Linked DNA regions of Caenorhabditis elegans. The protein of the gene in region 3 interacts with the protein of the main gene of each other region in a pairwise test. Each region holds a gene or a part of one and is shown on either strand. Other genes may lie near its edges.

The links. Proteins that work in one complex are often made in the same cells at the same time.
Region 1: the proteins of sec-3 (region 3) and C18B2.2 interact in a two-hybrid assay, tested with the Caenorhabditis elegans proteins (one large-scale study listed by BioGRID).
Region 2: the proteins of sec-3 (region 3) and F28C10.1 interact in a two-hybrid assay, tested with the Caenorhabditis elegans proteins (one large-scale study listed by BioGRID).

Annotation. Positions count from the first base shown.
Region 1 is NC_003284.9:3,621,322-3,629,671, reverse strand, and holds C18B2.2 (sulfotransferase family protein), read right to left. Parts: upstream 6,211-8,350; 5' UTR 5,757-6,210; coding exon 5,532-5,756; intron 4,564-5,531; coding exon 4,465-4,563; intron 4,419-4,464; coding exon 4,273-4,418; intron 4,204-4,272; coding exon 4,057-4,203; intron 3,964-4,056; coding exon 3,817-3,963; intron 2,369-3,816; coding exon 2,260-2,368; intron 2,036-2,259; coding exon 1,932-2,035; intron 1,677-1,931; coding exon 1,583-1,676; 3' UTR 1,357-1,582; downstream 1-1,356. Other genes in the region: Putative sulfotransferase vep-2, read right to left, coding at 1-2, 1,153-1,356.
Region 2 is NC_003284.9:541,245-545,554, forward strand, and holds F28C10.1 (Sulfotransfer_1 domain-containing protein), read left to right. Parts: upstream 1-1,862; coding exon 1,863-2,049; intron 2,050-2,665; coding exon 2,666-3,012; downstream 3,013-4,310.
Region 3 is NC_003284.9:3,094,527-3,102,268, forward strand, and holds sec-3 (Exocyst complex component 1), read right to left. Parts: upstream 5,327-7,742; 5' UTR 5,312-5,326; coding exon 5,182-5,311; intron 5,136-5,181; coding exon 5,008-5,135; intron 4,581-5,007; coding exon 4,482-4,580; intron 4,431-4,481; coding exon 4,053-4,430; intron 4,004-4,052; coding exon 3,831-4,003; intron 3,784-3,830; coding exon 3,612-3,783; intron 3,538-3,611; exon of another isoform or gene 3,402-3,537; intron 3,303-3,401; coding exon 3,056-3,302; intron 3,010-3,055; coding exon 2,655-3,009; intron 2,606-2,654; coding exon 2,479-2,605; intron 2,431-2,478; coding exon 2,169-2,430; intron 2,121-2,168; coding exon 1,996-2,120; intron 1,545-1,995; coding exon 1,446-1,544; intron 1,397-1,445; coding exon 1,145-1,396; 3' UTR 902-1,144; downstream 1-901. Other genes in the region: ztf-13 (C2H2-type domain-containing protein), read right to left, coding at 5,955-6,083, 6,555-6,672, 6,719-6,873, 6,925-7,149, 7,214-7,633.

The DNA of each region.
Region 1 (8,350 bases), 530 kb from region 3:
GTCTGAAAAATCATACAATTTCGAAACAATTTTTTTTACCTTTTTCTGTTTTTTTTTTCAATTTTTTATTTTCTATAGTAGATAAGAAACTATTTACGAACAAGACCTAAGTTGGTACTTTGCAGAGATTTTCAAGAAAACAACAACATGTAACATTCCACATTCATCTGATGAAGATCGTCTTGCTCAAGCCAATATGAAATCTATTCAACATAAGTCACTTCTACAAATTTCTACAAATCTTCAGAACCTATCATAATATTATTTCCGGCAATTACTATTTTACGCCATTTGTCCCTGAAACTCAATCAACGAGATATCCCTTTATGCTGAAACCTATTGGAGCCCAAAATAGCAGCTTTCTACGTGAAACCGTTTGATTTTTGCGTTCCGTTTGAATGTGATTCACCTTTGTAAACTTATTCTCCCAACTTAATCCCCCTAACTATTTGATGGTTTATAGTATCACTTTACCATTTTTTTCCTTCTTCCCGTTGACTATTCTGTGATGTTATTTAATTTTTGTAATAACGAGAATGAATTATATATTTTTTAAAAATGGGAAAGAGATCAACCGTACTAAAAAATCATATTTTCAAAGCTTCAATTTTGAAGGGTTTGTTGGTAGAAACGCTACTATAAATCTTAGAATTAATCTATTTTGTTCAAATCTATTCATTCTTGAAAATATTGATTTTTCAGCACTGTTATCAAATAGTTTTCAAACTTCGTTCAGAAACACTATATATGAATTCTAAATATCAGTAGCAATTTTGTACACTACACGGAGTAGCAATAGTTATACTAGATGTCACAAAACAAAAACGAATAACGCTTGCATATTTCATTTTTAAAACTCTGAAACAACTTTCGAAAGCTATGTCTAAATTTTACTTTTTGTGGTTATTTTAGGTGTACGGAAGTAAAAAAAGTCCAAAAACGTTATTCTTACTGTGAGCGAGACAGAAGTAAATGTCAAAATATAAAGGTATTTTTTGGCAAACCTTTTAATTTCAGAATTAATTGGAAATTGTTTTGTATCATGTCTATTACATAGTTCATTAACAATATACGGCTAGTTTCGGAGTAGGAACAAGGTTTCTTTGTCTAAATGTTTCAAATTGTTACCTGATTAACTTTTAAAAAACTCACATGAGAATTGGCTTTAACCATCGCATTTAATGCAAACAGGCGAATTTGTTCAGCTCGCATATCCCGTGTTTTAGGAGCAATTATAATTGAACTCTCACGTGTAACAGGTCGCGATATGAATAATGTTATACAAATTACAGAAATCGAAGCTATTATGATAAGAACTCTTGCAATCGACATGATATTCGTGTGTGGGGCGAACATAATTGAAAATAAATGAAACTTCCAAAGTACCAAATTATGAAAGGATTGTGTGGGATTTGTGGTAATACCTGTGTGACGTTTTAGCCAAAAAAGGGTTTATCGATGACAAAATTGAGAAAAAAAACGAATTTGGTGCATACTTGGTAACTGAATGGCACATTATCAGACTTTTACAATAAATATGGCACATTGGGATATGGTAATCCAATATAGTATTTTTTGGCTATTAGAAGCCCTCCGGCAATGGGTAATTGAGAATGACAAAGTCGTGGTAGAACATTCGCACCACGTATTCCATTAACAGTGGGCTCTCTCGGAGTCTGCAAAAACAAATTCGTGAGGCACATTCTTGAATTTCACATAAAGACGAAGACCCCCCAAATTGTACCACCCATTACCGAGGGTAAAGCATCTGCATTTTAGAACCAGAAAATAGTGAATCGCCGGAAAAAGAAAGCGTCAAATAATGTCATGATTTCTGAGATGCTTCTTATTTCCGCACCACCATGCCGAGTCACAAGTTCACCACAACTTTTCGGACAAAATGTCATTTTCCTCCTATTTTGCATACCTACCTCCTTTGGAAAAACTCTCTGGCCGGCGAATAAGCGGTCGTATGTGAAGTTTTTCGGTTTTTGGTTAGTTCATTTTCAATATATTCCAACTCCTTTTCTGGAATCTGAAAAATAAAAAGGTAAAGCATAAGTGAAACAAAAATGTAATTCATGACCATAAAAGTGAATTGTTATTTGATGTTTATCTTCATCTCAGCATTTTTTTCATGCTGCCACAAAACCCGCAGTATAAAAAAATAACGAAAAGTGGCTTCATCACGGCTTGTGTTCCAAAACAAACTATTTTCATAACTTTAATGAGCCGGCCGGTATTTTCAACCTCACTCACCCCTTGACGTCTAGCAATTTTGAATAAGTCTTCCATGAGTTCTTTCGATGCATCACTTGAATATCTGATAAATTCATATTTATTTCGCATTGTCTTGATATCACATCTCCTGGAAAATTTGTACGTTGTTATTTTGAAATTTTTTTTGTAATTTTATAGAAAAATCAGAGTCTTACTCTAGGTGTATTATATTCAAATGATATTTTTATTTTTAATTTGAGAAATCCGAGAAATCGATTCATGCTTTGTAAAAGTTAGGATAATGTGTGTGCACTGCTACTGAAATATCGCCCAAAATAATTTAGGTGCTTGTGTATTACATGCCCTCACTTTTAAAGTAATTTTTCAAGTTATGAAAAATAAAGACGTGAACCACAATTTTATATTTTTAGGCTTAGGAAACAACATTTTCTAAGCTTAAAAAGGAAAAATGTATATCATGTTTAATTTAATTGGTGAAATTAGTAAAATATAATTTAATTTGAAAATGAGGGCATGTAATACACAAGTATCATAATTTATAAATTCGCTTACACTTGATACATATTTGAAATGTGGAGTATCACCAGTAATGCTAAAGTATACAATATCAACATTAAACTTTTTAAAAGACTTTCATAAAGCAGTCGGAATATCAATTAAAATACATCGTGATTTTGGAAAATAATCAGCAAAAGTTTTTAAGTGAAAATGTCCAAACTTTCTGAGACTATCATAACTTGCCAAAACTTTGACTGGATTTAAAAAGTGTCTTTTTGATTTCACATTGTCTGTAAAGTATATTTTGAAAAAAAAACATCCACTGGTGGTATTCCTGTTTTTTAAAACAATTTGAGATTATCTTAGAACTCTTTCATTAAATTTTAAACCATCCATTTTTCCTGAAATCTCCTAGAGTGTCATGAAACATTCCCACTTGTGCTGGTGACCAGTACTCGGCTTCACTACTAATATTTAAGATTGTACTGTCGCTTTAAAGAAATTTTGACATGACTAACGGAGTTGCTGATATTTTTCCATAAAAATTACAAAAATGGGATTTTTTTGAAATGTTAAACTTCAATCCTTTTTTAGTGATCATACACAGGTCGATCGCTAATTTAATTGAATGTGAGACTACTTATTTCATTTTCTCAGACTGTTGCGTCAAATTTTTTTCAAAATTATACTATGAACAAAAGTACAAATTAGTTATAAGGAAAATGTGGTTTTTATTACAAAATGGGAAATATCAAATGTCTGAAACAATTTTGGATTTTACTTGTTTTCAAGTGAATGTTTGTCAGTTTGTACTCTCTATGAGTATTGCGCGCGAGAACGTGTCTCAAAATTAATATTGCAGTCATGTTAATATAGAATAAACATGGTAGTGTTAGAAAAGCGCGTTCATAGAAATATGTTGTTAGATTTCTAATGCAAAACTTTTCGCGTTTTTTGATTTTTTACGACAAACCCTTCCACACAAAAAGTTTCTTTGACGTTTTTACCCTTTTCTTTGTTGTGGGTATCATTCAGAAAAACGCGAGAATCTTAATAATTCAATAGTCTTCCTCTCACCAATTCTGCGGATAAAAGTGTCGATCCTCAAAAGTGTTTGTGAGAACCCCTTTGTGGGCTTGCTTTTTGAATCTTTCATACTCGCTCAAAATGAAGCATGTCATATTCTTATCGCATCCGTTGCACGGACTCGGTCCCTCAGCCACTCTGCAATGTGACAATAAGAAGAAAAAGTAAAGAGGGGTGAGAGGGTAGTTGATGGGGGAAGAAGTTGTTGTGGACTTGGACTTTTAGACGAACCTTATGCATCTATCCACATAACCCGATATGAATCTGTCAATGGGATCTCGTGTTATCATTGACAAACTCCATCCAGTCATTTCACTCGCATTATATTTTTTCTGAAGACTCTTCAAATGACGAAATGTGTTGTCGCCTCGGCAGAGCCTTAAATTTTTAAATAGTTTTTCACTCTTAAACAATCTTCAAATCTTCAATCTTTGCTCCCTCACTCACGATTCTTTATCCCATTCGGACATGTTCATTTGCTTATCGACTCTCACAAAACGGTTTCTATTGAACAAATAACACCAGATCCCGGTTATAACCGTAGACATACTCTTGTGAACTACACAGTGGGCCATTTTGTAATCCGGCGCGACCTTTAACATAAAAGTTAGAATTATGATCTTTGCATTGGTGTCTCACTCGATATCTGGTCTCATGGTTTAAAAATGGGCGAATACAGTGATCTGTGTTGTTGCAAAACTCTCGAGCGGTTCCTTTTAAAACACGTGGTTGAACTACCTGAAATGTGCCTATAATATATTTGAAGAGCGTTTTGAAAAACAAATGTATTGGGTGTCTGTAAAATAGTTAGGTCAAACAATTGGAAGTGAAAGCAGTTGCTCAAAAACTTAATAATGTTTCAATTATTTGAATTTCCAAATTCTTACGTTTACTCACAAAATTCAAATTTTTGTAAAATGTGGCATTAAAAAACAAATTTTGGAAATATCTACACTAGCTCTTTTTTTCCAATTTTTTCAGCCATTCTCTACAGTGTGCCCAATTTTTTTGTAAGGAGGAGATTACCCAAAAAAATTGGCAGTGTTATAGTTATATTGTGAAGAATTTAACAGGGTTATTGCATTCACATTGTACCCTCTCAATTTGATCTCTAGAAGCGACGCCAAAAACATGACCTGTTCAAGTATGTGTGATGCTAATATTTTCCTAGACACGAATTTCTGAGTTTCCAAGAAATTCTTGACCTCAAAAATAGGTATATTTTTCAAGCATTTTCAAAAATTGTTTGAAATATTTTTAAGTGCCATCAAAAAAGGTGTAAACTCAGTTTTCATTTTCCGTTAAGTTTGTTCAGAACTTTTTTAAAAGATTTTTATGATCTAATTATGTTTTACTTATTTTCATTTGAACATTATAGAGATTGCGGCAATGCTCGAAGCTTTTCAAAAAGCTCACATTGATGGGAATTTCGCCAATTATAAGTTTGTGAAATTGGAAAAAAATTAAAGTATTTTCATATAATATTCGGACATGTTAGACTACAAGTGTATTTAGACCAATGGGCGGTATCTTTAAAACATTAATACTGGATAACTTTCAGCTTAGGCTATGAAGTTTTTATTCTAAACCTATGCAATAATAAAAAAATTGAACTTCCGTGTTTAGAAATGTTCACTTTTTGATACGGCTTCTACCCAACACATTATTGAAAGAACAGCTTCCCAAAATTCAAATCTAAAACTTACGTCACTGTTTTGCGCTTTTAGTTCATCCATATTGTGGTATAAACTGAAAAATGCCTTCATCTGTTTTTTCTTCGTTGGAGCATCGTCGGTATTCGAGTTAGATATTGAATATTCCTCGGATTGTTTCACAAATCGATGATAAGAATGCATGACTTCCGTCAAAAAAATAGCAGCTCCTAGTACAAATAGGACAAAACCAAGTATTCTCGGAACAATATTGGTCATTTTCAAACGCGATAATTTTGTGAATGAAAATTTGCGAACAATGAAATGAAATGGTACTTTCATGAAGGCGGAGAGATGCGTTCTTTGAAAGTAGTTTAATCTCTTTTTTGGTATTGATCTACTGTGATCAGGTACAATTTTGAATGAATATGCGGGCGGATAAATCTGTCACCCACGTGAAGCGATCTCGGTTAATCTCGCACAAAAATCGTAGAGTTGTTCTCCATTCTAGAAATGCAGGTATAGATCTAGTAAATATGAGTAATGTATGTAACATACCTGAACACACAGTAGTGATCAAAAGTCGATCGGTGTAACTTTTGAACAACAAATTTGATGTTTTTGCTTTCTGTATTTGGGTGATTTTCCAATTTTTCCTAATATTATAACTTGAAAACTGCGGATTTTGGGAAAAAAGTTTTAACGACGGAAATTTTGTGCATAATATTTTTTACATTTTTGCTGTCGCCAAATTGATATCAACAAGTTTCAAAAAAAAGTTCTGGCGGGGCAGTCTCATCGCATAGACTATTTCAGTAGTGAAACTTGTTTCGAAAAAAAACCCAATTTATTAAAAGTTGCACACATATTTGTTAGAAATAAACTTGCGACATGTCATCAGCTTTAATTTTTTTTGAGTTGAGTTAATAAAATATTGTGAAAAAAACGAGCTGACAAAATTTTGTAGAATGTTTTGCTGGGCAAAAAAAATTAGACTCAAGATCCGTAACTGAAAACTGAGAACGACCAAAAAAAAAGCTCCGAGTCTTCGGTTCCACGGATTCACAGAACGATGTAGTAGCAGGTCCCAAAATTTTTTTTCAATTTTTATTATGTGAATCTGATTAGTATTTTGAAACTTAATGTTGAAATATTTTTAAAAAAAGTTCCTGGAAATTCTTGAAACAATGCCCATACTGCAACGTTTCTGATAGAAACGTTGCAAATGAACAAAAATTAAAAAAAAACAAATTCATTAACCAAAACATTTAAGAATATTGCTCACAAAAAGTTGAGCCCGTACACTTATATTTTTCTGAAATGTTCATAAATACAGTCATAGTTTTTGTTTTTCACTTTCTGGAGAAATCACAGTCCCGATAGTGTACGTATCCCAAATCTTTTGAAATTTTTCGTTCTATGTTTTTGGAGACAAAAAGGACAAATCACTCGAAACGAAAGGATAGAAAGTTTCAATTCCCTCGGAACAGTTAAAAGACACCAATGTATTTCTGTCAAAAGATGTGAAAAAAAAACAAAAAAAACAGCGGAAAAAGAAAAATGTTGCGATGCCTGCAAGTTTTCTGGCATCATGTCCAAAACGTGTCCTTCACTTTTGCTCCTGAAAGACTGGAGGCTGAAGCTCCTGATTTTTCTCCAGGGACCTGTTTATCACCTACTCCGGTCACTTCATATTTTTCATCCAAAAAAGAAAAAAACGACAAAAGCTCTCCCGGACTCCTCATTTGCATGACGAACCTAGAAAAAACAATGGTGAGGATGATATGCTGAAAACAATTTTTCTTATTTCTGTTCCGTTTTTCTGCATTGACCTTAATCTGTTCAGAAAAATCTCGGCTCTTCTTCGATTCTTCTTTCGTTTTTTCGCTCAAATTTCGAACACGTTTGGTCCCAGTAGACCAGTGTGTCACAGAGTCTTTCACAATTGGTTTCTCATAACTTCTCAACTTCTTGCTCTTCCCGACCATGAGACTATGATAATCAAATTACTCTCTGGATTCTACACTAGAGTAGTACTGCTCCACTTCCTTGTGCTCTTCTAGATGCATTATTTTTCGGTATTAATTGGTAGATCTCGTTTCAACAACCACCAGAATACAGCTGCTTCAGGAGATTTGTCGAGTACATCAGGAAGCAATAGTGATTAATGAGGTAGTCCTAGAAATCCGTTGACCAACCAACCATGTCGTTTTTCTTTTTCACTTTTCCGCTTTATTTTGAAAAAAGCATAAGAAAAAATTGTTTTTGTTGTGAATTTATTTAGAAAAATCATGTAGAAAATCCTTGCAACAATACTTATCTACTAAGTTCAATCTCTACGAAGATTGACATATTTTTTCTCACAACAAAAAAGGGGATGATGTATGTGTGGTCGATATAAGTATAGATTGAGCAAAATAAAAAGAGAAACTTTTCTCAATGAGTTCCATCTCTTCACCTACATCCGATCACGCATTCAAACTCCAATCTGTCGAAAAAAGAGGACCAGCGATTTATCATGTGGGTTGGAGAGTGTGAGGAATTTTATGTCAGGTGATAAGTTTGCCCCACTATCAGACTATTCGCACCCAATCATCAATTATTAAAAAAGAGTTCTAATGTTGCCGCAGATGAACTATCTGGCTTGATTTTAGAGTTATTGCGCAATGTTTTGAATAGTTTTATTGATTTCCGATTTTTAGTTTCAATTTTCGGGGGCAGATAGCTCAGTCGGTAGTGGTGGCCGCTAGCAGTCTGGAGGTCACGAGTTCAAGTCCGGCCTCACCCCCTAGGTTCACCCAGCCTCTATTGGGAAGTGGAGCAATCCACGACTGGATTATCGGCCACAGTCCCCGGCTAGGACGTGGCTTAAA
Region 2 (4,310 bases), 2.6 Mb from region 3:
ACATGTGGTGTGTTAGATGTGTTCGATGTGTTCGCGACATTGAATGACGGAACACGGTACTCGACGGTAGACTTTAAATATGCTTACCTTTAAGTCAAGTTGGCTGATGAGTCAAAGCCACTGTTCACGGTGAATACGCACAGAGGCTTGAATGAGAACCAAAGGTTAACATTTGGTGCAAAACCATCTGCCAACAGGGCTATCCGGATACTTTTGTTTCGGATAATGGGACACAGTTTGTGTCGAAAGAGTTTGCCGAAATGTGCGCAGCTACGGTATTGAGCACAAAAGGTCACCAGCGTTTCATCCATAGTCAAATGGACAAGTCGAGCGCTTTCCCGACACGTTGAAAAGAGGGTTGAAAAAGTTAAAAGGTGTCAATAGTGAAATAATGTCACAATTTCTGCTTCACTACCGAGCAACGCCGTCAAATGCTCTTGGAGGATTGACACCGGCGGAAGTGCATATTGGAAGACGTCTCAGAACGAGAACGTCTCTGATGATGCCAAGAAAAGATCATTCTGAAGATTCTACAGCTTCCACGTTAGCTATGAAAGATCAGTTTGATAAGCATAATAGAGCAAAAGCAAGATATTTTCATGAAGATGAAAAAGTGTTTGCTAAAGTGTACGAAAGAAATAGCTGGTCATGGAAACCAGGAAAAGTTGCTAACAAGCAAGGAAAAGTAGTATATGTCAACATATTAGATGATGGAAGAGAAAGAGCGGTTCATGCAAATCAGCTAAAGCCAAGAGTTGATGAAAAAGAGACCGTCAGGGTAAATGCATGGAAAGATACTATGAGTGACACTTCTGAGTTGTTACCATATGATAACGAGGATTATGAAGTTATTGAAAGAAAGACTAAATTGCCAACTATCATGCCAACACTGAAGGAGGACAATTCTGGAAGTTCAAGTTCAACGACTCCAGCTCAGCCAGTTCAGTCGCCAGTTGTTCAAGGACCAGTTCAAGGAGATCACGCTCAGCAGCAGGATGCTCTGGTTCTTTTGCCGAATGCTCGAGGACCATCACGTGCAACATCGCCAGTTCCGATTAGACGATCTACGAGACAGCATTCGATCAGATTCGATCCATGTGCATAGACACGTTCATGTCTATATAATTAATTACCCAATCTTTTGTTCTACGTACCCCCAAGTTTATTTATACAAAGGGTGGTGTTGTGTGTTACTATTAGGGTGAGCAAAAAATGTTACTATTAGGGTGAGCAAAAAACAAAAAAAGATTTTTTGTATTTTCTCAGTTTTCATCCTTTCTCAAATATTTAGTATGTGGTACATAGTAGTCTGTTAGTAGTACAAAATATATTGATGTCATATATTTCCGCCAACTTCCAGACTGATTGATCCTCAAAACTACGTTCAAAAAAATTTCCAATTTTTTCGATTTTTTCGGATTTTTTAAGATTTTTTCGGATTTTTTCGGAAAAAATCGCAAAAAAAAACGCATAAAATCGATAAAAAACACGACCTCTAAGCTACTCACACGTAGAATGAATCCAAATTTTCTGGATTTTTTCGGATTTTTTCGGAAATATATCAAGCGTTCTTCAAAATAAATTTGAATGTTACTCCAAGGTTTTCCCCCGGAAAAATCGTTGCACCCCCATAAAATGATGACTAATCAGAATGGCTGAGTTCTGCAGATACTCCGTGTGTTAAGTGGGAGGAGTGAATGACATGGAGTTCATTCGTCATGGGACGCTATGTTGGCTTACTATTCTGAGCTTTATTATTTCCACTCACATTCTCGCTCACTAAAATATTTCTCATACATCATCGGTTCTCAAATTTTGCGATTAAATTAATGAAATATTACAGAATGTTAACCGGGCAAAAAATGCAAATCCCTTGCCCATCCGTCCCCGCTGATGAAGAAGTCTGCGAGAACCCACCAAAAGAAATCGGTGACGAAGAATACGACCAAGTCATCATTCAATCCATGATGGACGAAGCGAATAGAGATCAGAAGGGGTATTGGATCCGGTTGATGGAAGAAGGAGATGCTCATCCAGCGCGAAAGCAAAGTTAGTTACTCCAGCCATATTGTCAAAAATGAAAAAACTTTCACCAATGCAGTTAATATCTGATAAGTTAATCCTTAAGTATGAAGAGAGGATGCCGGTATGCCTCAGGGCTGTGCAGCAGTTAGATTAGCCGTGCCGTAAAATTTTCGGCAACCGGTAAGGTGCGTTTTTCTAAACAAAAAATGAAATAAATAGTTTTCATTTGTTGAAGTTTCCAAAAAAACTGTTTGACAATCGACAATTGAAGCTCTGGTAGTAATTTACTATTAAATCTCTGCGCATCCAGCTTTGAAGTTTCTAAAGGGAATGCGCGTCCCACATCAGTCAAGGACCGCGACGAATGACTCGTGCCTCTTGAGCAGGTTATGGCTGAATATGAAGCACATCTATCATGTAAATAGTATCAATTTTTGTTAAAATACTGTAAAGTTTCGGCTTGTCCTTAGGCGCGAACGACATCCGCTAGCTGCTGACATTGTGAAACGATATTGTAAAAAATCCTTAACGAAAGTCCCGCCGGAGATCAGTTGTTCTTTTGATATATGACTTTTCCGACTGTGTGGTGGAATTCTGTAAAACACCAAACAAACCATAATTTATCTCTCTTTCTTTTCAGTGGGAAAAGTAGACTTTCGTAACTTCCTGAACATGCGCTACGAGAGAACCAGCCGATCGAGCTGTAGCGAAATTCAACGACTCAACCAGACTTATGATTGGCTCCGCGAGTTCCACTTTGGATGGGAGAGAGAGATCTTTGTCGTCTACACCCATTTCGATCATCCGGCCTCGTTCGTCATTGAGAAACTCTTCTTGGACCATATGAATTTATCAATTTCTGAATTTGAAGATCAGACCAGCTACACAAGCAAGACGACTTCCCGTAACACCAAGTACATCGATTATTACAAGCTGTCGCAGTTGATGAAAGACTTTGTCCCGTTGGATATCAGTTTCTTCAGATAATTGTTTTTTTTTTAATTTTTGGACTTTACTCTTCCCCTCCTGTCACTACATAGATTATTAAATTTCATCACTTTTATTTTTTATATTAAGTGTGAGTATGATTATTCAATAAATTATCTTGAAACAGAACATACAAGTTTAGAAGTTCAATCAACAGTCATGTTTCGTCATATCAATATGCCTTGGCGATTTATGAAAAACAGAAAGAAGTTGCCTGTAAGCATTTCTCAGAAAATAATGTACTCAATCACGATAGACATTCGGATCTAGTTATTTTTTTTCTTGTAAGTATTACTATTTCTCGTTGGCGTTGACGCAGTCAAACTGAAGGATCTTGTCGTACGTTTAATTTTTATGCAATAGCAGTATACCACCAAAAATACATTTCCCATTTCTATGTTAAATTGTTCTTTATCTTAATTGAAACGAAAGGTTGTTTTGCATTTTTACGCAGAGAAAACTACCATATCTAGCCCTAACATTGTAGCAAAGCTCACGGTAATAATTTTTGGTAACTATTGTCAAAATACAAGAACTGTCACATGAAATTTGACTGCAGGTGATGACAGAAACAGGAGAATGAAAAACGCTAGAAACAGCAGTTTTTGCGCTGTATCATCGCATTTTCTTGTCTCCCGTTTCTGCCATCACCCGCGGGGCCAGCTGTTTTTTCGGCATGCGGAATTGAGAGAAAAAATTTCGCGCGCGTTGCTGCAGTCAAATTTCATGCGGCAGTTTTTATGTTTTGATAATATGTATTTCAATGAATAACATTTTTGGGGTACGGCTACTTCATAAGTTTCAACTTTTTCGTAATTGATTCACGCATCTGCTTAAATAAGTATAGACAATAACCCTGAATTTAGCGTGACCCAGTGATACTAGTAGAACTCACAATCAGGAGACCGTTTTTCTCACAAGGTTTTCATGTCTTCCAATACAACTAGGAAACGTAAGGAGTGTGAAAATTTGAATAAGTTTTTTTTTTAAATTTAAATTTAAATCTTCTCAGATTTCAGGAGTATATTTTGTTTTATAGGACTATTGAAATATGTCAGGTAAAAACAAAAAAAGGGGGGGGGGGGCAAATTGATCAAATAAATGGCAGAGCAGGATCAATAGAAAAAAAACAAAAAGTTTGGAATACCAGAAAAAAAATGAATCGAGTGGGCAAAAAATGGCGATACTGGCAAAAGGTGTAATTTTCTGACCTCCACACTAAGTACTACTGATATTCAAAATAGCGTTTGTGGGCTCTCATTTGATTGCGCATGTCACACCAAGCGAGAGAATCGTCC
Region 3 (7,742 bases):
CTACAACACCGGGAGTGAAGCCGTAGGGGGGGGGGGGGGGGGGCCCAAAAGGCATATTCTCGTATCGGTTTCTATCAGTGCAACACTTTCACTTGCCGTATGTTTGTCACCAATAATCCGGATCGCGAATCAGTTTTTTCGGTGGCTACCCAATTTTCATCAAGCTATTGTTTTATTCAAGAAAAATGGAATCGGTGTGGATCTAGCCATGCGGTTAACGGAAGACGATTTATGACCGGCTATTCCACGCGTATGTGGAGCTAGATTTGTAGCTTGTTTGAAATTCCTACACTATTCGAACAAGTTATGTTCATTTTACTTTACAGAGTCTGATAAGAATTGAAAACCAAGAATAAATAAACATCCCCCCTCCCCTAATTTTACTTTTTCTACGTTACCATGTTTAGTGGTTAGATCGGTTTATAATTCTCTTATAAACCTTCACAGTTACCTCTTAAAATGTTAAATTTTGTTCTGAAGTTTTCCAAAATAGATTGCGGCCTATCAATTTTACCTTTAAATCGAGTGATGAAAAAAAATGCGCTGTTAAAACAATTCTTACATGAAATAGTTTTAAATAAGATATAAGTACAGGGTGGTCCATAATTATGGACCACCCTGTATAAATGAGTCAAAAAATGTATATAAGAGTAAAATGTAAAACATAAAGTGAGATATAAACGGAATAACATTATAGAAGTTGTTTTTATTAGATTTAAATCGTGTTACACCCCTTTTTTATTAAAAGTTGCCAAAGTGTGTTCTTCAGAAAACACACCATTTGCATGTCAGATTCTTAAGTTGACCAGTTCAATGCAAACATTCAGTCAAAATTTCTACAAATGTGTAACCAAGAAGTCAGTTCCGTGAAATTTTTGTGAGCATTTGAAAATACGTGAAATAAAAGTCACCAAGCAAGACATTTATTTTTCAAAAAAGCAAGCATTACTACTATTTTCGAATGGGGAACACCCGTAAATTTATATTACAGACATCAGTAATGTAACGAAGTTCACCTATTACAGAATAGATAAATAAATATATTACAAAGCATGGTTCAGTAAGTATTAGAGTTCTGATAAATTAAAACTAAATTTTAAATGAATTAAAACAACAAAATTCAATAAAATTATTCGTCGTAATATTAGTGTTGTTGAGCAATTTCTGAGAAGAACTGAAGTACAGTGTCAGTGGAAACTTCGAGCTCAATCTTCGAGCCTGGGTAACAAGTGAGAATCAGTTTGTTGTATTCCGCAATTTGCTTGACAAATTGCTCTTGCATATCTCTCCATACAACTTGCAAAAGTGATGAATTGGCAACCAGGTTCTTCTCAATTTTCTTGTACAGTTGCTCGAGTCCTTTTTTCACTTCTTTTCCCGGATGTTGTGAAATTACCTGGAAAATTTATGAAATGGCGATTTTGATGATTAACTAGAAATTCAACCTTTTTAAGCTCAATGCGACTGAATTGTTGTTGATACGAGATTTCATCAGGACGAATTCCACGCGTTTCGATAAAGTTGTTGACATTGTCGAAGAACGTCTGAAATTTTTGGAATACATATCGATAGTTTTGGGAGATTTTTGTTTAAAGGTGGAGTACCGAAATTCGAATGAGATGTTTTGAAAATTCCTCAAAAAAAGTTATGGAGGTTCAAAGTCGGAAAAAAGGTTTTGCAGCTAAAATCACAATTTTTACAACTTCTCGGTGTCGCAGCGTCTGGAACTTAATTTTTATTTATTGATCACTCTTTAATAAATTTGTTGGTCTTTTATTGGGCGTATATGCGCTGAATTGTTGGGTCTAAAATAGCAAAGCCTCAAATTTTGGTACTCCAACTTTAAACTATGGTAGAGTGCCTTTTTTTACAAATGTTGTAGAATGACAAGCCAAAATTAGAAAGAAAAAACTAGTTTAAAGCATAATAGTCAAGTTTTTTTTCAAGCATTGGCAGCACAGTATTGAAACATAAATTTCCATATTTATATATCACCTGAATCTCTTTGAGTGGACGACCCATAAACTCTTTTACGTACGCATCAATATGTTCTTCCTTGAGCGCTTTCGCATCTTTTCGTTGTTGATCCAAACATGAGATTTTTAGCTCCGACAAAGTCACTGAAACATTTATCACCATCACACTTTATTGTTTCCTAGAACACTTACAATAGAGCTCGTGGTAATTTTCAAACTTGACTACAGACGACGGAGACTTGCTGTATTGATTGGCGGCAGCTTTTTGTATCCCGTCACAAACCGCCCGGCAAAGATTGAAATATGCCTTCTCCAAGTCAGTTCTTCTCTCGGCATTTTCAAAGATAATTTCAGCACGTCTCACAAAGTTTGCAAAGCGAAAAATTGATGGGAGAATTCCGATTCTAGTCTTTTTAGCAATGCGAACTTCCGAGTACTGGGAACATTCCATTTGCTGGAAGAGAAGATTATTGCAATTACAGTACATATAAATGGAACTCACAATAAATGCATCAAACTGGCGTTTTATCAGAACAACTAAACTTCCAAATGTGATCGAAAAATAGGAGCTTGGGTCTTGTGGTAGAAGCACTTTCTTCGACATGATTACAAACAAAAGGAGAACATTGCTAAAATGTGTAGGAATTTAAAATAATATGTACGTGTACCTTTTCTCACCTAGGATTGTGCCTACAAACCGCCCGACAGAAACTATCAAGATGAATATTGAGCGAGTCAAACAAGTTGCCCATAACGTGTCTCACTTGCTCGTTCATATGTTTCTCCATACTACGTCCTCCGAGACTTGAGCTATCACCGCTTCCAGTTGAAGTCGTATCGAACTGAGCCAACAGCTCCGAGTTGATGTGGAAGAAGCGGACAACGAACTTTTGCTCTGCGTCAATCACAGCGCTCAGTTCTGCCAGCACCGTTTCGATGAGTTGCGGTAAGACTTCAGTATCAATTTCACTGGAGGTGCTCAGGAAACTCTGGTTGTCAGAACGAAGTGAAATGTTTGCAGATTCATTTGCTTCTGAAATCAGATGATTATTTTTTGCTGCAAATATTAGCAAACATACTTGACTTCTTTTCAGAACTGTTAGCTTTTGGAACTTTGTTGATCAGTGTCTCAAAGAAATTGTCAAATAGACGTTTGTAAAGTAGATTCGTGCTGTCGATATACTTTTGCAAGACTAAATTGCAAGCCTTTGGACGGTTCGTTTTCAGCCAGTTGATAAGATCAGAGAGTGGAGAAAGGGCGCGAAAGCGTTGAGACTGTTTTGGAATACACAGTTCATGCCACTCATGATCCAAAGATAAGTCGTTCTGAAAAAAAAACACGCGTTGAAAATGATTTTATACAGTGCGCGCGCTTGCTACAGGATTCTTCTAAAATTTATAATAGATGTATTGAAAAAACTCCACATTTTAACGTGAATCTATTGTGAAATTATGGTATGTGATGTAAAAAAAGCTTCGCATGCGCTGTAAAATATCTGAAATTCGAGAATTTTGGTTGAAATTTTCAAAAAATTCAGAGGGTCCTTTAGCGAGAGCGTGACCTCCGGAATTCTCTAATACTTCTACAATTTAGGGGGTCCTCGAGCAAGCAAGCACACGTTCATTGAAACTTACCAAATTCGAGAACAGTGCAGAGAGGTGAGACATGAGCCTATCGACAAAGACATCCACTGCGGTAAGCTCATCATTTCTGTCCTGATAGGCTTTCATTTGAAGCATTGGCTTAGAAATCCTCCCGTGCCAGAATTGTGCAACAGCGCGTGCAGCGTCCGTGCATCTTTGAACACTGAAGTATCATAATATTACTTGAAAACTCTAAGTTGTTCACTCTACCTTTCTGGGTTACTGAAGTTAGCTTGTTTCAGAGTCTCAATGTGGGAATCAGTAACAGCCTGCAACGAATTGACAAATGAAACGATTTCCTCGTTGAGACGTTGCTTGTTCTTTCTTTCAACCACCGATAAACTATCTTTCTCTTCGATCAATTCGATACTGTTCCTCACAAACTGAAAATAGTTGATTAAAATTTCAATAAATTCCTTTACAATGTAGTACCGCCAAAATGTCATCACAACGATCAAGCTCTTTTTCGACCGACTCAACACCGGTCAATGCTGCATCAATACTCGAAAGCAACTGGTTTACGGAATTCTCACTGTCCATCATAGAGTTGATGTTGGCTCCATCGAGAGATTGCAATTGCTCCGTCAGCATTTCGGCAAAAATATGTGCTTCACCAATAGTCAAATTAGCTCGCGCAATCAACTTTCGAAAGTCTGCGTCCTCCTTGTTGGATATTGGCTGATAATCACTTTGCATCGCCATATCATGCTCAGGAAGCTCAATGGGTATAATGGAGGTTTCTGATTCAAGTTGCGGTAGAGAGAAATTGCAGAAATCTGGCATCTGGACTGGAAGGTATTGGCATGACAACTAAAATACGAAATTTTCAGTAAAAAAGTTGAAAGTATTATAGTTGGATACCTTGTAGAGTTCTCGAATGAACTCGTCCTTTTCCTCAGCGGAACCAGCCAAAATCACATATTGATGATCACCGATAGTGATGTGGAACTCTGGTGATGCCTGAATTTTTTTAATGTTTGTCAGTTGAATAAAATTCTCAATTTTTTTTAAACCCAAAAAAACTTGAAGTAAATGCGAATTTAACTAATTGATAAGCCATTTTGTCAAAATAATTCCTGCAATTTGCATCATCTTTTCGACAAATTTAGTGTACAATAACTATTCTTTCAACAACTTCTCACCTAACTTTAGCTAATTGCAATTTTTACAATTGATAAAGATCGTTGAAAAGTTGCGGCAAAATGGCGAATTTTTAGCTATTTTAGGTTGATAAACTCCATCAAACATTAGTGTTCGTAAAACTTGAAAATCCTCAGTTATTCGAGAAGCTTCACATTTTTTGCGTTATGTTCTTCGTTACGCTCACATTTGCTCACTACATATATCGTATAAATTGCGTGAATCCATATAATTTTCAAATACTCACTTTTTTCGGATTTATTCCGTCGATTTCTCTGACTTCTCTCAAATTGAACCTGTCCTTCTTTTTGAATGTATCATCTTTCTCCCCTTTCACAAAGTATAAACGGACGGCGATGGGGTGCTCGATTGTGACTGCAAGTTATCGATTTTTATACAGGACAATTCCAAGAATTCTTACCTGCTAAACATAGTAGTGTCTGGTTTTTCTTCTTTTTTCCATCCAACTTTGAGACATTGACTATTGCTTGAATTCTTTCATCGTCTTTCTGGAAAAGTTGCCGCTGGATTATCTTCCTGATTGCAGACATTCAAATCTGAAATTGAAAATTTATATAATCACATTGATTAAGTAGAATAATAAAAATTTTAAACTTAAACCAAGCATTAAAAAAGAAAACAATAAAATCAGGGAATTGGAAACAGTTATGCCCAGTAAAAACATACGGAGTTATTCTGCGTCTCTGCAGTTTTCTGTGGTGACTAGTACACGAAAAACACGCCAGTGGCCGGTTAGCGTGCGCGTTTCTCGATGAACACCACTATTTATATTGCAATGCAGGGAAGCAAAAATAATTTTATTTGGTTTTATTTTTACACTTGCAAAAGATATAGTAATAGAATTGAAACGAATTGATTGACCTGAAAAGATTTATTTTTGGCAATTATTTAAATAGAACACGATTCCTAAAACGGACCGTAAAAAAATGACAATTGAAAGTTTTCAATTAGGAGAATCTGCAAAAGTAAAAAAGAAAGAAACAATAAATAATATTACACGGATCAGAAAAAAAACAACAGAGAGTTTGAAAAGGTCGTGGTTTTGATTTGGAAGTGACTTGAGGCATAAGTTAAAAGTAGAAAAAAAGTAACAGAAAACTTAAGTGAGACAAAAGAAAATGATTAATGACATGTAGCTATATTAAATCGGGGGTAAGTTTCAAAATGAGATTATCACTGAACAGCGTTTCTGACTGGATACATGGTGTAGTTGGTAGTAATCAAAGTGCGACGCAGCGGAAGTGGGCCTGCAGGTGGAAGTGTGTAGTTGCGGTTACGAATTGAAGTCGGGATTTTGATGATCTGATTTATTTATTAGTTTTTACAGTAAATTGTATTATCGCCCCTTTAAATTTTTTTTTATAAAACAAATGTGGACATATGTATATTTCAATACATTTTGTTACATTTCGCGACATTACTTGATTAGCCCCATTAGTAATTATTGTATTCTAAAGAAAAAACACACAAAATATGCTGGACAATCCGAATTTGGAAGTATTTTAAATCTTGGTAACTACTGAAACTTGTCCTATTAGACCTGCTAGCTTATATCTCGGTTGTCTTAAATTGTACCAAAAATAGTACAATGTCAATATGTTGAAAATTATTTTACGTAATTACGCAGTTAAAATGTTTTGATAAAATTAAAGAAAATCGAGATATTAGCTGTCAGCGTGAAGCAATCGGTGAGCAAGTCTAATAGTGATAATACAATATGTAGTAGTACCTTCTGACATGACAAGTAACTTAATGCATTTATCAAAATCTTACCGCTCGACCCTTTGAGTACGGAGCAGATCGCACAGTGTACTGCGGCTGACTTGCCGCCATTTTAGAGACGACTTCTCCAAGACTTTTTCCAGGTGGAACCGGTCGAGACGATTTTTTGCTAAAACGAAAAATATTGTTAAAAACCTAAATTTGGTAGTTCTTACAATTTGACTTGGGGCGGCATTGTGCTGAAAGTCAGTGTCTTAAAAACGGTCGCCGAGGGGACGTAGCTTTCCGAAGGCGAACGTTTTATGAATTTCCCGTAAATAAATGTATTTTTCATGCTCGACACAAAATCATCGTGATCTGCAGACTCCAGCTGAAAAAATAGTTCTGCTTTAAAAACTGCAAATTTAGAACTCTATCTAACCGTTGCCAATAAGTCGCTTTTAGCCTGATTGTAAACCACTAAGCCAATGCTACCCGACATAACTGCCTGCAGTTCACACTTTGCGTACGTGTAATATGCGGTTGTCATCACTGTTTGTTTGTCTCTGGTGAACAAGAATTCCTTTACAAAATCACTGGAACGGCGTGTGATGGCTTGCATCAGAAACGGGCCAGATGGTATTCGAGCATTTTGCATTGACTCACACTGCAAAAAAAAATGTATTTTAAGCGACCAATGTGTACGTTTTTTTTCTTTTTTTTTCTCTCACCACCGGCATCTCTCCACACCCGTGAGTCAGCATTGTGTGGTCACTGGCTTGTTGTAGAGTGTCAAAGTGAACATTACATTCGGAACAGAACCAATTAAACGACACGGGATGATTTAGGGTCTCGTGATGCTCCAAAGAAAATTGTGATACAAAATTTTCAGAACACGTTCCACAACGAAGCATTGCAAACTGACGGGATCTTGTTTTGGGCTCAGTTTTTTGCTCTTTGAGTTCCGTTTGAGGACGGTTCTCATTGAGCCGACGCTTTTGCAAAATTTGCAATTTCGAAGGAATAGGCGTCTCCTCCTGTGTGAAATAGTTCTTAATACCCGCGAAAAGTTCTTGGAAAACGGTTTCCAATGGTTCAGGCTCGAGTCCACTGATTAGTGGATCGTAGCTACTGTGCTCTTCACCAAACATGTTCCGTTTCTCACCCTTAAAGTAGACAGTATTGATTTGAGAAATAATCGAGCGGTTGGAATAAAAAGAGAATGGAAGGTTAGATGGGGGAACGCGAGGACGGGGAAAT